3 linked regions of the Bombyx mori genome follow. The protein of the gene in region 3 interacts with the protein of the main gene of each other region in a biochemical or structural test. Links are inferred from orthologs where the notes say so. Each region holds a gene or a part of one and is shown on either strand. Other genes may lie near its edges.

What was found.
Region 1: of the proteins of Cyce (region 3) and E3 ubiquitin-protein ligase ariadne-1, one has a biochemical effect on the other in vitro, tested with the Homo sapiens proteins (3 studies listed by BioGRID). The link is inferred for Bombyx mori from reciprocal best matches to the Homo sapiens genes CCNE1 and ARIH1.
Region 2: the proteins of Cyce (region 3) and S-phase kinase-associated protein 2 form a complex in vitro, tested with the Homo sapiens proteins (2 studies listed by BioGRID, with this or other methods). The link is inferred for Bombyx mori from reciprocal best matches to the Homo sapiens genes CCNE1 and SKP2.

What each region holds. Positions count from the first base shown.
Region 1 is NC_085127.1:9,590,965-9,595,939, forward strand, and holds the start of E3 ubiquitin-protein ligase ariadne-1, read right to left. Parts: upstream 3,137-4,975; 5' UTR 2,962-3,136; coding exon 2,755-2,961; intron 836-2,754; coding exon 683-835; intron 1-682. UniProt on the Homo sapiens protein: E3 ubiquitin-protein ligase, which catalyzes ubiquitination of target proteins together with ubiquitin-conjugating enzyme E2 UBE2L3.
Region 2 is NC_085117.1:568,138-573,157, forward strand, and holds the start of S-phase kinase-associated protein 2, read right to left. Parts: upstream 3,255-5,020; 5' UTR 3,144-3,254; coding exon 3,076-3,143; intron 2,916-3,075; coding exon 2,843-2,915; intron 1,508-2,842; coding exon 1,427-1,507; intron 973-1,426; coding exon 846-972; intron 1-845. Other genes in the region: BCL2/adenovirus E1B 19 kDa protein-interacting protein 3, read left to right, coding at 4,969-5,008. UniProt on the Homo sapiens protein: Substrate recognition component of a SCF (SKP1-CUL1-F-box protein) E3 ubiquitin-protein ligase complex which mediates the ubiquitination and subsequent proteasomal degradation of target proteins involved in cell cycle progression, signal transduction and transcription.
Region 3 is NC_085111.1:1,944,963-1,950,075, forward strand, and holds the start of Cyce (cyclin E), read right to left. Parts: upstream 3,376-5,113; 5' UTR 3,096-3,375; intron 2,322-3,095; 5' UTR 2,282-2,321; coding exon 2,268-2,281; intron 2,180-2,267; coding exon 2,113-2,179; intron 2,040-2,112; coding exon 1,756-2,039; intron 1,542-1,755; coding exon 1,340-1,541; intron 1-1,339. Other genes in the region: protein pigeon, read left to right, coding at 4,026-4,086, 4,425-4,850. UniProt on the Homo sapiens protein: Essential for the control of the cell cycle at the G1/S (start) transition.

The sequences.
Region 1 (4,975 bases), on a different chromosome or scaffold from region 3:
TTTGATTACATTGATGAGCTATACGTTTGAATGAACACTGTATTCTGCAGAGCAAAGAGAAATAATAATGGACACATAAAGCTTATAGTGGGTAAATCGCACTGTTACCAGTAAATAAAAAAGTCTACAGTTAGGATTGACGTTAACAGCCAGTTATCTCATAAGAGGATCGGGCCCAGTCCAAAACAAAAAGAAGGATTGGCATTTACAAAAAAATTCCATCCAAGTATTACATTTAAACAGTACTGTACATAATAACAACGGTGATTATTTCATAATTTGTCTTTGTAGTTACAGAAATAAATAAAACATGGAATAATGATGATATAAGAAATTAATTATAAACTACTTTTATGGTTTAACTTGAAACTTTTATTGTCATTATAATATTTCCAAATGACTCCCAACACAATATTCAAATTTGAATAAATAACAGTTTAGTGGTTAGTCATCACAAAAACTGTAAACTATTTAAAATGTTAGAAATAATATAATGACTCTAAAATTGCAAGATTACATCACAAAAGTAAATTTAATTATGTCTATTATTCACATATATTGATGAATATAGCATAAAAAATTAAGATTACATTAGCATATACACATATGGTAATGTAATGAAATGTTTTTAATCATGTTGTAATATAATTACTTTTTTTAGGATAGTCTGCAATACATTTACCTTTGGCCTTTGTATGACAGGTTTCCTGAATGGATTGATAACTCTAGCTTCAGAGAACAACTGATCCTGGTCTCCATCATAAAAACGTTCCATAAGCTTCTCTTTGTCCCATTTGAAATGATTCAGTAAGATCCTTGTTGTTGTTGCTGGAATCTGTTTTGACAGGATTTTTTATGCTTTTAACACACCATAAATCAGAATTTTTAATACTTAATCAGGGGATCTTCAAGGACAGGTATATACTATCTGAGTGAAATAGTTGGGACTTCATAGCTACATATCTCCCTAACATTGTAAAGAAAAAAATTGTATAAACTTTCTTTTTTTACATAATTATATACCACTAAAACAAAACTATTAAACACAAACAAATTATTTACATCCACTAGTTTTTTTTGTAAGTCCTATGAGTAGACAAGCTTCTAAAAACTGAAGATAAGAGATCCCTTAACTTAGTTAGTTTAGTCCCTACAGTTAATTTACAGTGTTACAAATTTCCTCAATGATCACTTTCACTTTTGTTACAGTCAATTAAGAGCCAATTTCAAAGATTTTTAAATGAAATATTGCAGTTTCATATCAATGTATTTTATTTAGATTTAGTAAAAATTTGTTACTGGCTATTGTTAACTTAGGTTGATATATATTAGTATAGTTTTAGTGCAAAATGTTAAATTTTACACAAATCAACATTTTTCTTAGTTTCATATAAACATAATTAGTATGTTACTGAGAGCCTTATCATTTTTTAATTTCAATTTTGTTGTCAGAAATGCAATTTATATTTAATAGAGATTGATTGTTACTAGTTCAAAAAATGCTTTTTACTATTTTAAATTTTAAATTTAAATAAAACTGACTCTCGCTTTAGGTTAAAAAATATCATTGAACTATGTAATCCATTAATATAAAAAATGACAGATTAAATTGCCTTAAAGATCTGTTGAGGGGCTAAAGTGGTCCAATGGAAGATTAGTCTAACAAGTACTCCATCTCAACCTGAGAACTACAAGTAGTAAAGGTAGAGCAATCAATGTTACACACACTCATGACATGATTGTGTTATGTGTGCTAAGCCTGCTTGGAGATAGGTCAAATAGCCACTTATGTGCTTCTCAAATGGGAGTGGCTATGCTTCAGACCCTGGGTCCCCAGGCCCCACAGCTAGCTTCCTGGAGAACCTAGTCTGGTGCTTGTAGGATCACTCTCACTCTATTGAATAATAATGACATCAGATTGCAGGGAACCACACGTTTATTGCTTTTGGGGTAATGTTTTTTCATAATTGTTAGTAAGTTGTTTCCAAAGCTGAAATTGTAATGATATACTACTTCAGCACAAACACAAAACCATACCCATAATTTCTACAGTTCATTTAATGAATATTTAGTTAAACAGATTTTTTCCTTAATGCAAAAAAGCATAGGTACATGTTAACATATTAATATCTCCAAATCAATATTAATCAACAATAAGCACTTTTCTAGGCCTTAATATTATCATAGTACATAATAATGCAATTGACAATGAAAACTATTAATTATATATGCAAATGAAATTGTTATTAGAATCTTACTGTAGCTTTTTATTATAAGAAAGAATGTATAACATTGAATAAGAATGTATAACATTCTTTCTTATTCTGTTCTGCATACATATTTGATGAATTAAAATTAGTTATATGAAATCTACTTGTATTTGCTTAATATTTATTTAAGCACCACTCTTTTTGTTCTATTACATTAGTCAGCATTACAAAGTTATTAGTCATCAATTTACAGTTTTATATGTTCTAAAAAATACCAATGACTTTTTACCTTTCATAAAATGCTTTATGGCTCATAAGATTATATTAGGCCAAATAATGATTTCCTGTGATGATTTAATTCTTAGAAACTGTGTTTGCTAATAATAAAATCAAACCATAAACAATACCTACAGTCAAAAATATCATGTCAGATCAATTGCGACTAAATTAGTCCACAACACAAAAGGTTCTATCAAAGTGTACCATTGTACGAGTAACCTCAATCAATTAGTCCATTGTTTACGCTCACAACTAACATACTGACCTCGACGACAGTGTTCACTTCTTTAATGCAGTCAACCATATGTTGGACAATCTCCTCTGTAGACAAAACCTCGTAAGGATACTCCTCAAGCTCAGTTTGTCTTTCCCTTGTACTATGAGTTTCAACGTCCATTGCAAAGTCGACATCGTCTCCACTAGACTCATTACCCGAGTCCACATCGTCTTTCGTGTCATCTTCCGAATCCATCGTTGCAAACTTTAACTAAATTTGTATGATTTATAGTGAATGCACAACCAGAAATCTTATTGTGATGAAATAAATACACCTTAGATTTAGGAAAGGTCAACAATGAAGAAAATAGTTCACCCGCGGGCTGCCAAAACCTCTGACGTAAGGACAGTGTTCTAACATCTAAAAATTTAAATCATAGATAAATAATGTTCTTCTTTTTTTTAGTATGGCAATTAGCTTCTTGCATGACTGTTGTTGGCAGAGTCGAGATAATAAAAATCCTGATTTATTAAACTCTTACATACATACTTATTGTATCTTAAGAAAAATCATATTATGGAACGAAATGAGATGAAGTTAATTTATTTAAGATTGTAATCAATTGGGTTGAAATGAAATGAGATGAGATGGAATAAAATAAACGCACAGTAAAATGATTGTTCTCTGATACTTCAGTGGACTTTCTAGACGAGTCTGTGAAGCCATTCCCAGCGACTTTGTTTCATTTTCTCACATTATGTACTTTTATAGATGCTCAACAGTTAAGAAGCCACCATTAATACGCATTGATGTCGACACATGATGACAAAGTTAAAGTGGAACTCAACCCATTATACGAGACTTCTTATCGAACCGTTCGTTCCGATATCGAGTCGAAGGAACGTGCTCTCGCCCTCGTCACGTACCTCAGTTTGTAGGTATAGCCCGGTCTCCGGAGACCTATCTAGCGCTCTTCGCCGATGACACGGCTATCTACTACTCGTGTAGCAAGAAGTCATTATTCGTTCCGGAAGTGCCGCATCGACATCAACCCCACGAAAAGCACAGCGGTGCTCTTCAAAAGGGGTCGCCCTCCGAATACCACTTCGAGCAGCCCACTCCCTAATAGGCGCGTTAACACCTCCACCGTTAGCCCCATCACTCTTTTTGGCCAGTCCATACCGTGGGCCTCGAAGGTCAAATATCTAGGCGTCACCCTCGACAGAGGTATAACATTCCGTCCCCATATCCAAACGGTACACGACCGTGCCGCCTTCATTTTTTTATTTTTTATTACTTAGATGGGTGGACGAGCTCAGAGCCCACCTGGTGTTAAGTGGTTACTGGAGCCCATAGACGTCTACAACGTAAATGCGCCACCCACCATGAGATATAAGTTCTAAGGTCTCAGTATAGTTACAACGGCTACCCCACCCTTCGAACCGAAACGCATTACTGCTTCACGGCGGAAATAGGCGGGGTGGTGGTACCTACCCGTGCGGACTCCCAGGAGGTCCTACCACCAGTGATTACGCAAATTATAATTTTGCGGGTTTGATTTTTATTACACGATGTTATTCCTTCACCGTGGAAGTCAATCGTGAACATCATATTAGGACATCTCTACCCTATGCTTTGCAAGCGAAACAAATTGTCCTTCCGTAATAAGGTGACACTCTACAAAACTTGCATACGCCCCGTCATGACGTATGCAAGCGTAATGTTCGCTCACGCGGCCCGCACTAACTTGAAACCCCTTCAGGTTATTCAATCCCGATTTTACAGGATAGCCGTCGGAGCACCATGGTTCCTAAGGAACGTGGATCTCCATGATGACCTGGAACTTGGCTTAGTCAGTAAGTAACTACAGCCGGCATCATTGCGCCACTTTAAGAAGGCGGCACATGAGAAACCTCTTGTCGTAGCCGCTGGAAATTACATACCATCGGGTATACCTAACCTGTAGACCGAATGGTAAACAGTCGACGTCGCCCAAAACACGTCATTACGGATCCTCCCGATCCTTTAACGGTGCTTTTAGGCACCACAAGCACCGGTCACCGTCCTCATAGAACCCGTCACTTGCGACGAAGGGCTCGACGAGCGAATTCACCCATAGACACATCCCACTGAGTTTCTCGCTGGATCTTCTTAGTGGGTCGTGTTTCCGATCCAGTGGTAAATTTTGCGAAACACTGCTTTTGCTAGGGCCAGTGTTAGCAACACTCTGGTTTGAGCCCCGTGACCTCACCAACACTTTAGGGTGAAG
Region 2 (5,020 bases), on a different chromosome or scaffold from region 3:
CGGGTCAGATATTCATTGAAGTGAGACGTTTACCAATTTTCCTCACTATTTCTAAATTCTTTTATTATAATTAATTATTCATTAAAAATATTGTGTAGTTTCGAATAAATCCTTTTTTTTTAAAAAGTTCGGCCTTCTCACTACTAACAGTACCCTGGACCATAGTCGTCGTTGAAGTCGTCGTGGCCTAACGGATAAGACGTCCGGTGCATTCGTGTTGAACGATGCATCGGTGTTCGAATCCCGCAGGAGGGTACCAATTGTTGTAATGAAATACGTACTGGACAAATGTTCACGATTGACTTCCACGGTGAAGGAATAACATCGTGTAATAAAAATCAAACCAGCAAAATTACAATTTGCGTAATTACTAGTGATAGGGCCTCTTGTGAGTCCACGCGGATAGGTATCACCACCCTGCCTATTTCTGCCGTGAAGCAGTAATGCGTTCCGGTTTGAAGGGCGGGACAGCCGTTGTAACTATACTGAGACCATAGAATTGATATCTCAAGGTGGGTGGCGCATTTACGTCGTAGATGTCTATGGGCTCCATTAACCACTTAATACCAGGTGGGCTGTGAGCTAGTCCACCCATTTAAGCAATAAAAAAAAATAAAAATAAAAACACAAAGATAGACAATTAACTTATGGATGAAACCCAAATAGCCTAAAATAATATTAATTTACCAAAGTAAGCATGAATGATTGTTGTTTTGAAGCATTCATATTTAACAAACCAGCAACCACCCCTGGCAAATATTTGAGGACATAGTTTCTGCACAAACCGATATTAAACTTATCAAAGTGTTATTTTGATGAGCAGCGAGACTTTATGGAAGACTTACCGGTGTGAACGCGAGGGCTCTTCGCCTTGGAAGGTCCCGGGCTTCGTTTTGTGATCGGAGAACATGAATTCGTATTTGGATTCACGTTTTCTATGTCCCGTTTTCGTTTTGTGCCTTTGTGGTGGTGCTGGAATCAAAATAAACTGTTGAATTTCCATTATCTCAATTTTTTATCTTTTTTTATTGCTTAGATGGGTGGACGAGCTCACAGCCCACCTGGTGTTAAGTGGTTACTGGAGCCCATAGACATCTACAACGTAAATGTGCCACCCACCTTGAGATACAAGTTCTAAGGTCTCAAGTATAGTTACAACAGCTGCCCCACCCTTCAAACCGAAACGCATTACTGCTTCACGGCAGAAATAGGCAGGGCGGTGGTACCCACCCGCGCGGACTCACAAGAGGTCCTACCACCAGTAAAATGGTAATGGTTAAACGAGCCTACTGTTACCGGGAGTTTTAAAATTAGACCTGCTCCTCATTGTAACTTGGCTGTGCAGGACTTCCATTAGCAAACAAAGCACTTACCACAAGGGTTGTGTCGCCAAACACAGACAGCGATACAAAAACATAAAACTCACCCCTCCACTGCTCGAACTCAGTTCACAGGATTGTTCATTATCATCAGGCTCAAGCAAACTAACCCCCATTTCTTGTAATACCTAAAAATAAAGTTTAAACTTTATTTATTCCCAAAATCATACAGTTCCCTTTAACATGAGACATTATTCTATCTATGGATTAAACATTAGTATTAAACAATTAGTTCTAATATGTAATTATTACTATGCAAACATTATAAGAATTGAAAAATATGTATTTCTAAGATTAATCAAACCTTTGTATTTCAGTACAGAAAAACAAAGTTATATCATATCTCCAAAACCCTTTGAAGAAACCTAGTATCCCATAGAGCACTTTGATGATCTATGCTCAGCTAGTCTGATGCAAATCAAAATTGATATCTTAATCTATGTTGATCGAATTTTAATCAAACATATTCCTTTTGTTGTGTAGAATAACATAGGATGCCCGTAAATCAGATCTTCTTCAATGAAAGCCTATAGGCTTTTTATGATTTAATATGGTACAGGATTATAAAAGACAATTCTCAAATGTTTCTTTAAACTACATTTAACCTTATATTTTTCAATGTCTATGCTTGAATGTGTGTTTGGACCACTCATGTATTAATCTAGTACCTCTAAATACAAATAGAAATTTAGTAATTGAGAAAAAATTACTAGAAACATAGCTTGTCCCGTTCCTTGTCTTTTTTAAAGCTTTTCTTGCTTTGATAGGTGAATCAAATCAGGGCCTACCTTGTGTTAAGTGCTTCCCAGAACCCTATGGGTTATTGATGTCTATAAATCAACAATGTCAATGCCACCACCTACCATGAGAGTAAGCTCTAAGTTTCAGTTCTATGGCTGCCCCACCCTTAAAAACCAAGTGCATTGCTGCTTCACATCAGAAATAGGCAGGGGCATGTTACCTACCAGTACAGGCTCACAATATGTCCTCCTATCACTAGTAAATATGTGCATAACATATAAAAATACATAATATTATTTGAAAGCATTACTTATAATAGTGATGACTTAAACAAAATTTGCATAACTGAGAAATGGTCCAGAATCTGTTTGTAATGTTGCTGTATGAGCATATATTCATACAGTCTTATTTGTTTGTGAATAATGGTCACCCGACTGCTTATATGGGACCTCGCAGGGTGGCAGTATCAACCATTGCTCACTACACGCCGGAGAACCCATAAAATCTATACATGAAAATGGGAGCATGTATACATATTTCGATCTCAGTTCATTTGCGTGTTTTGTGGCAAAACTATAAAATTACGCGTCCCAAACTCGATATGTATATTAATATTGGATTTAGGAGCTGTGAGAAACTCGAATGATAGTTAAAACACGATTGATATCAAATAAAAAGTTTTTAACTAGAACGGAAGAGGGCGGGAAAAAATTACTACATACCTCGTAATTCGTTCGTTTGTCCATCAAACTCCAACTTTTCCGCGTCGAATTACTTATTCTAAGTTTTTTCTTGCTGAAATAATATTCCAACTCTTTGAATAACCGTAAATATAGTAGTGTAAAAATAATAATTAGGGCGTGATTATTTCGCGCCATTCAACTTTACCGCTGAAAATCAGCTGTCATGTCAGATTGAATTCCATGACGATTTTTGCTAAAAATTCAAGTCTCACCTAGGACTTTCTGCATCGTCTGGTTTAACGGGTGAATTAACTTCATCTTCCAGACCACTAATGTTCATTTTCACTTAATTTTGTATTATAAATTTCCAAATATAGCTAGATAAAAAATTTGGCACACGCAACAGATAGCACTTTGAAGTCAAAATTAAACTAAAAAAAAAGGAATTCAGCTATAGACAAATATGACAAATTTTTTAAACGTACAAACTGACATTGACATTGGGCATTAATGTCACACTTGCTATTACTAAATCGAGGACTTCTTTGCTCATGATTGCCACTCAGATTGATTATTAAGCTTGCCGAAAAACAGATTTTTTTAAATTATTTATTATTATTATGAATTATTTATATTATACAATTTCTCTCTATTTATTTATATATTTAACTTGTCTTTAATTATTACTATTATTTGATATTTTTTCACACCATCGCAGCTACCACGCGATTTTTTTTCTTGAATCAAGGCATAAAATTTCTCGATTGACTTAACATATTTATACTTTGTTGATGACAAAATCTAATTATCCTTAAAGATTAAGGTCACCAATGACACATAGTTACACTATGACTTAATTCATTACGAGAAACGGATACGCGCTCTCGCTCTCTGCTGTTCTATCTCGAAGTAACCATTCAAACCAGCCTTGATCGACAGCTGTAAGCGCTTAAAGTTCAGAGCACATTAAATAAGGAATTCTTCGGTATTTTTATTTATTACATTGTCCCCGTTTTTATTAGACTAAACACGGTAGATAGTAAAACAAAACAATAAAACAATAAGATTAACTTGGAAACTATTTCTGGGTAGGTTTCACTTCTGGATTAAAAGTTATTTATTTCATTTTGTAAATATAGAAGTGTAAGGATAAATGAAAAAAAAATTTATCTTATCATGATTTACCTCCTGTTTTTACAACTTTAAGATCAAAATTCCAGCGCACTGAGTTTCACGCCAACTTTTTTTTTTATTGCTTAGATGGGGGACGAGCTCACAGCCCACCTGGTGTTAAGTGGTTACTGGAGCCCATAGACATCTACAACGTAAATGCGCCACCCACCTTGAGATAGCTTAGATGGGGGGACGAGCTCACAGCCCACCTGGTGTTAAGTGGTTACTGGAGCCCATAGACATCTACAACGTAAATGCGCCACCCACCTTGAGATATAAGTTCTAAAGTCTCAAGTATGTTACAGTTACAGCAGCTGCCCCACCCTTTAAACCAAAACGCAGTACTGCTTTAAGGCAGAAATAGGCAGGGTGGCGGTACCTACTCACACGGACTCACAAGAGGTCCTACCGCCAATTATTCTCTCAGTTCTCAGTGGATCGCGTTTCCGATCCAGTGGTAGATTTTGTGAAGCACTGCTCTTGCTAGGGCTAGTGTTAGCAAATTCGCCAGGTTAAAGCACCGCGAGCTCACCTAACTCGCCAGATGAATATGGTATGACCCCTCCAGGTTACTGGAATAGATAGGAAAAATAATAATCGATAATACTGAAAAAATCGAAGACATTAAATTTATTAGGTTCAACATATTATATACAAATGAAAATGAAATCATTCGAAAAACAACATTTTTTTAAATTGCACAATTTTGAAATAAAATCTGTTAAGGCGTCTGAAATCGAACTTTAATCGATTAACAAATTTAATCATATCGCATATCGTATCTGAACTGATTATGCCACACTATCCACAACTGTCAGTTCCAATCAAAACAACACAAAACACAAACAAAGAAGGTTGCATTCGGTGTTGATTCAGTCCGTTCTTTCTTTGTTTTCGCATTTTAAAAGCGAAGAAGCCCGGTTGAACACAGCGTATATTATTAAAAATACGTTTATAAGTAATTTTCTAGTACCACGACTTATTTCCGCGCGATGGCGTCGAGAAAACTGAACACAATCGAAGACTTGAGCGGTGAGTGTTGTA
Region 3 (5,113 bases):
CTATCCTTCAAACCGAAACGTATTATTGCTTCACGGCAGAAACAGCAGAAACAGACAGGGTGGCGGCACCCACCCGCGCGGACTCACAAGAGGTCCTACCACCAGTAATTACGCAAATTATAATTTATACACGATGTTATTCCTTCACCGTGGAAGTCAATCGTGAACATTTGTTGAGTACGTATTTCATTACAAAAATTGGTACCCGCTTGAGATTCGAACACCGGTGCATCGCTCAACACGAATGCACCGGACGTCTTATCCGTTAGGCCACGACGACTTCGACTTCGGGGTTCCGATTCTGATTTCAGTTTTTTTATTTCCTCTTTATTTCCAAATGATACCACCGCTTTCCTGATCAAAAGTTCTTAAAAGAATGACGTGCATTTCGAACGATTAATGCGGAAGTTTCAACAAGAGACGTGTACTACGCGTCCTTCCTTTCAAAATATATTATATTATTAGTATATAATCACATAGCTGTCAATCGTATATACTATTAAATAAGGCGATTTAGAATAGTTAGTTAATTTTTAAACAAAATCACTAAGAGTTAATAATTAGAGCAATGGCGTGAGCCAGGAGAGGGCAAGTTTCTATTTTTGGAACGAGATTTTTTTCTTTCTGATTCAATGTTGTCGGCTATCGCAATGGTGCAGGGCGACTTATTCTAGACAATTCGAAATGTCAACTACAAACATTCTATTTATGACGTCACATTTACGCCTATAGTCGTAGCATAAAACCTAAAAATGTGTGAGGTTATAAACTTGTAATTTGCACTTAAATATATAAAAAAAAAACAACTGAAACATGGTTAACTGAACCATATTGAAATCGCATTGGCTTAAAGTTCAATGAACACAGCAAAAAACGGGTCATTGACCTTATATTACATCACTTTCCATATATACCAATTGTAAATAAAAAACTGTAACATTATGACTTACCTTTTTATGTCAAAAACCACTATGGGGCAGCATGAAACATTTTACAATAAATAAAATAAAGAAGAGGTTCTAATTTCAATTTTTTTTTTGAATACCTATTTCCTAAAAAACACTGCAGTAGCTTGCCTGTCAACATTATGAGTGCAAGACAACTTTTTTTTAATGCACGAGTTTCATCTAGACATATGTAGTTATGTAAGGTTAAAATTGGAAGATTTTATTTTCTGTATTATCACTCCTATTTTTATATAATATTCATTGCCAAATTACATTTCTACTTAACAAATGGATATCTGACAGCCAGACTTGGTAAATCCTGATCCATAAATTATCCATTAATATTCGTAAACAAAGCCCCTCACCCTTTATATCATATTATGTTGACTTACCTCATTTAGCCAGTCCAGTAAAATAGCTCTCATCCGGGGCTGAAGATTAGGATGATTGTCAAACATGTTAGGGTTCTTCTTCTTGCTGGACCTGGCATCACACTCGCACATGCTGTTCCAGACATCAGCAGGATCAGCCCAAGACAATCCAGGCAAGGGACATTTGCGTTTTGGAGGTGTAGGGCATGGAGGCTTACTAGCACTGAAACAGTTCAACTAAGTAAAAGTTTTGTTTAGTTACAATGCAAATTCAGAAACTGACAGATGATGTGTATTTGGCAAATCCCACAGTGATAAACTTTTTTCTTTTGTTTATAGGCAAATAATATAAGAGCTTAGTCATCACAAGATAATGTTTGGGGCCTTGATATTATTAAGATAGTTCAAAAATAATTCAGATCAGAAAAACTACTCACTTAGCCCTTTTATTAGAGTGTGGGGTGGACTCGCCTCTGGCCACATTTTCTAAGGGGCTCAGTACGCTGTTGGGCAGATCAGAAACACTAGGTGGGCTCAGAAAGCTGTCAGGGTTGTAATCAATGTCTGTATAAACACTCCTTGGTTGATCACTGTTCCCATATTGAGAGCCTTCATCATCGCTTGAGCATGATGATGATTCTACCACAACATGAAGCGCTGGTTGATCACATAATTGTTCATCAAGGGTTGAGGCTATCTTCTGTGGAGGCTGGTTTTCTAACTAAAAGAGTAAACATGTAAATATAAGTATAGGTTCAACTGAAAAGCATTTATTGTGTTGAAAATGTACACACCTCATCATCAGAAGAGCTTCTTTTACGTTTTAAGGTCATGCGCTTTTCACTGGCTTCAGAGGGAGACCTGTAAAATAGGGTCAACAACAGTCAATATGCACTCAAACTTTAAGCTAGCTATTTCTATGTGATTAAAGAATGGAGTAAGTACATACCCAGATTCAGCCATATTGGAAGAGACAGTTGGGATGTAGTACTATTTTTTCAGCCTGAAATAAAACAAAGTTTCAATATCCAGATCGACATCTTACATTCGAAGGTCCAAATTAGAATTATACTGTCTAAAATTACCGCATGTCATGTTCAAGTTGCAAATAGGGTTATGTCACTTGACAACCGTATTGAGGCCATAATTAGCAAATTATCGTACTTAATAAATTATCTTATTTATCAGGGATCCTTCAGGATACTTCCAAAGATGCAAATAAAGGCATATTAATGCATATTGTATGAGAAATGAGTGTGTGTTTCTGCAGCGTGCCCCCTGCTGGTTGGCGGGAGAATTTTTTTTAGAGGACAATATCTCGTGGATTTAACATTATTATGTGTGTATTTTTATGTTATATAGTCAGCAGAAAGGCTAATGTATCATTTCATATTAAAGAAAAGTAAAAATAAATCGATCAGCTGCTCCAAAAAATGCCACGAAACCGTCATATTCGCGCGCGAAATCATTCCGTCAGCGCCATTAGACACGTCGCAAGCTTGGGTTTCTCGCCCAATCCACATAAGGAAATTGATAAAAATAGCTTAAACGTGACACTGTATTATCTTGTTATTAAAATTCGTCTAAAATACTACTTTAAAAACCGAATTTGAGGCAATTTAGGGAGCCTAATAGTTGACAATCTAATTGGCTTGGCTTATCGCCCACAGTAGTTTATAACCTAATTTGTAAAGAAAGTCTAAAAATTACAATAGATACCGTATCTTAATTCGATTCCTTATATACTTGGGTTGCTAAAAAATAACTCAGTACATACCTGATCATTCACAAATTGATTTAATTTACACAAAACTAAATTTCTTCATGCACCAGATATGGAATGTCAATTTATGACACTATTAGTTTAGTTTATTCCGAAACATTCACGTCCGTGGTCGTAAGTTAGCCAAATGTAGGTAAAAAGGTTACAGATCAGATGATTTTCTGCTTACACATAGCACTTTTCAGGTTTTCACGGCTCGATAACGCCCGGCTTCCGCGCGAAAATGTCGCGGTAAAACTTAGGAGCCCAACGGGGTTAACATTGGCTAGCTTCATGATTGTTTCTTCTGAAAATGTACGTCACTGAAATAACACGTTTCGTTGCACGCATAACATTTTTGTGTATTTCCGTTCCAAGACTAATTCGAAATAAAGAAAAGGTTTGATTCATTTTTAGTTCACATATTTTCTACGGTCTTAATTGGTTTGAAAATTATTGAAAACTCATTCATTTCGCGAACACTTTTAATATTTAAAAATATTAATTTTTAGATTTTTTAAATAGACAAAAGGAAAGACTAAATAGATTTTTTTAAAAGCTTGTTTGCACTGCAGAACCTTTTTTCAATTTCAGATTTTCCGTGGAATGAATCAAGGTTAAAAATCTTTATTGTTAATTCTTCATCTAATTTTTTTCGAGTGAAACGAAATGTAGATCCAAAATCAACGCTTCTTTTTGATTGGACAGTTTGTGTCTGTAGTGATACAGGAATACCAACAAAGTCGTATTAAAATTATTTTCTTTTTGTTGGCAAAAAGCATAATCCTAACTTCAGACCACATTAACAGCTGGGCGCCAGCTGATGGAAAATGAGCGAGAAAAGTCAATAAAGGTGCGTTGATTCAATTGATAACGTGGCGATATGATGAACTGTTGTTATTATTTGTAAATGTAACAGGTGAAATTGAAAAAAACTATTTTAAAATGGCTGTTCAAAATATTGCGGTGAAATTGTGTGGAATACTTCAGGCAGCAAGTGAGGAGGGTATGTTGAAGCTTTGCGTTATGGATTGCTATCTCAATCGGGCCTGACGCTTTAGTTAAAAATATTGTCGACTGCAGGTTGGCTGGCCTTAAAATGGTTTCTAATTACTTACATACTCATTTACTTGTGTTAATTGGTCAAATAAATTTAAACATTTATTAATAATATTTTCAAATTCACTATATGTAGTTCTAATGCTGTAATTCCAGACAATATTATTTTATTTATATATAAATGAAACTATTAACTACAAAAAAATAAATGATTTTACGAAAAAAAGGCAGTTAGAGCAACAGCCATCCTCTAAATATATGTAAATCGAGAAAAATGCTTTTCAGAAATTACAGCACGAGAGTGGCGTCTTTTAGGACAAGAACAAGATGGTTCACAACTTCTTACTTGGCTTTCAAATACAAAAAATAATGCGGAGGTCCTCAACATTGGCATATATGTAAATAAAACCAAATCTCTGACTATTCTACACACATTTGACAAGAAAACTAATATCATACAAGCTTCAGTGAATGCGACACAAAGTCTTTTAGCATATGTTGTCAAGAAACTTCCAACTGATGATGCTGAGGCAAAAGAGCCTTTGTACTGTGCTTATTTAATGTGTTTACTTCCTGACAAAGAAAGAGTCAGTGAACAAATTGAAGATAGCTCTACAAAACAAATAATGGTACAATATATATACGGGAAGAGTAATAAATACAGCCCTGGTATAAGAAATGACAGATTCCTGCTGTTCAAACATTTGGAATGTGAGTTTGTTTAAGAATAAGTAATAGATTAAAAATATATATTTTGCTTAATAGTCAATAAGTTTAACAGCTAGCTCTATCTAAGATATCTTGGTACAGTAAAACTGTACTGTAAGTCAATTATTTATTTCAACATAACCTGGTTCAGCAATTAAGTGTATGATGCATTTCAAATTCGACTACTATAAAATAAATGTTAAGCTAGAACACAATTTTGTACCAAGCTCAAATAATGCAACCGTTTCAAAACATATTGGTAAAAT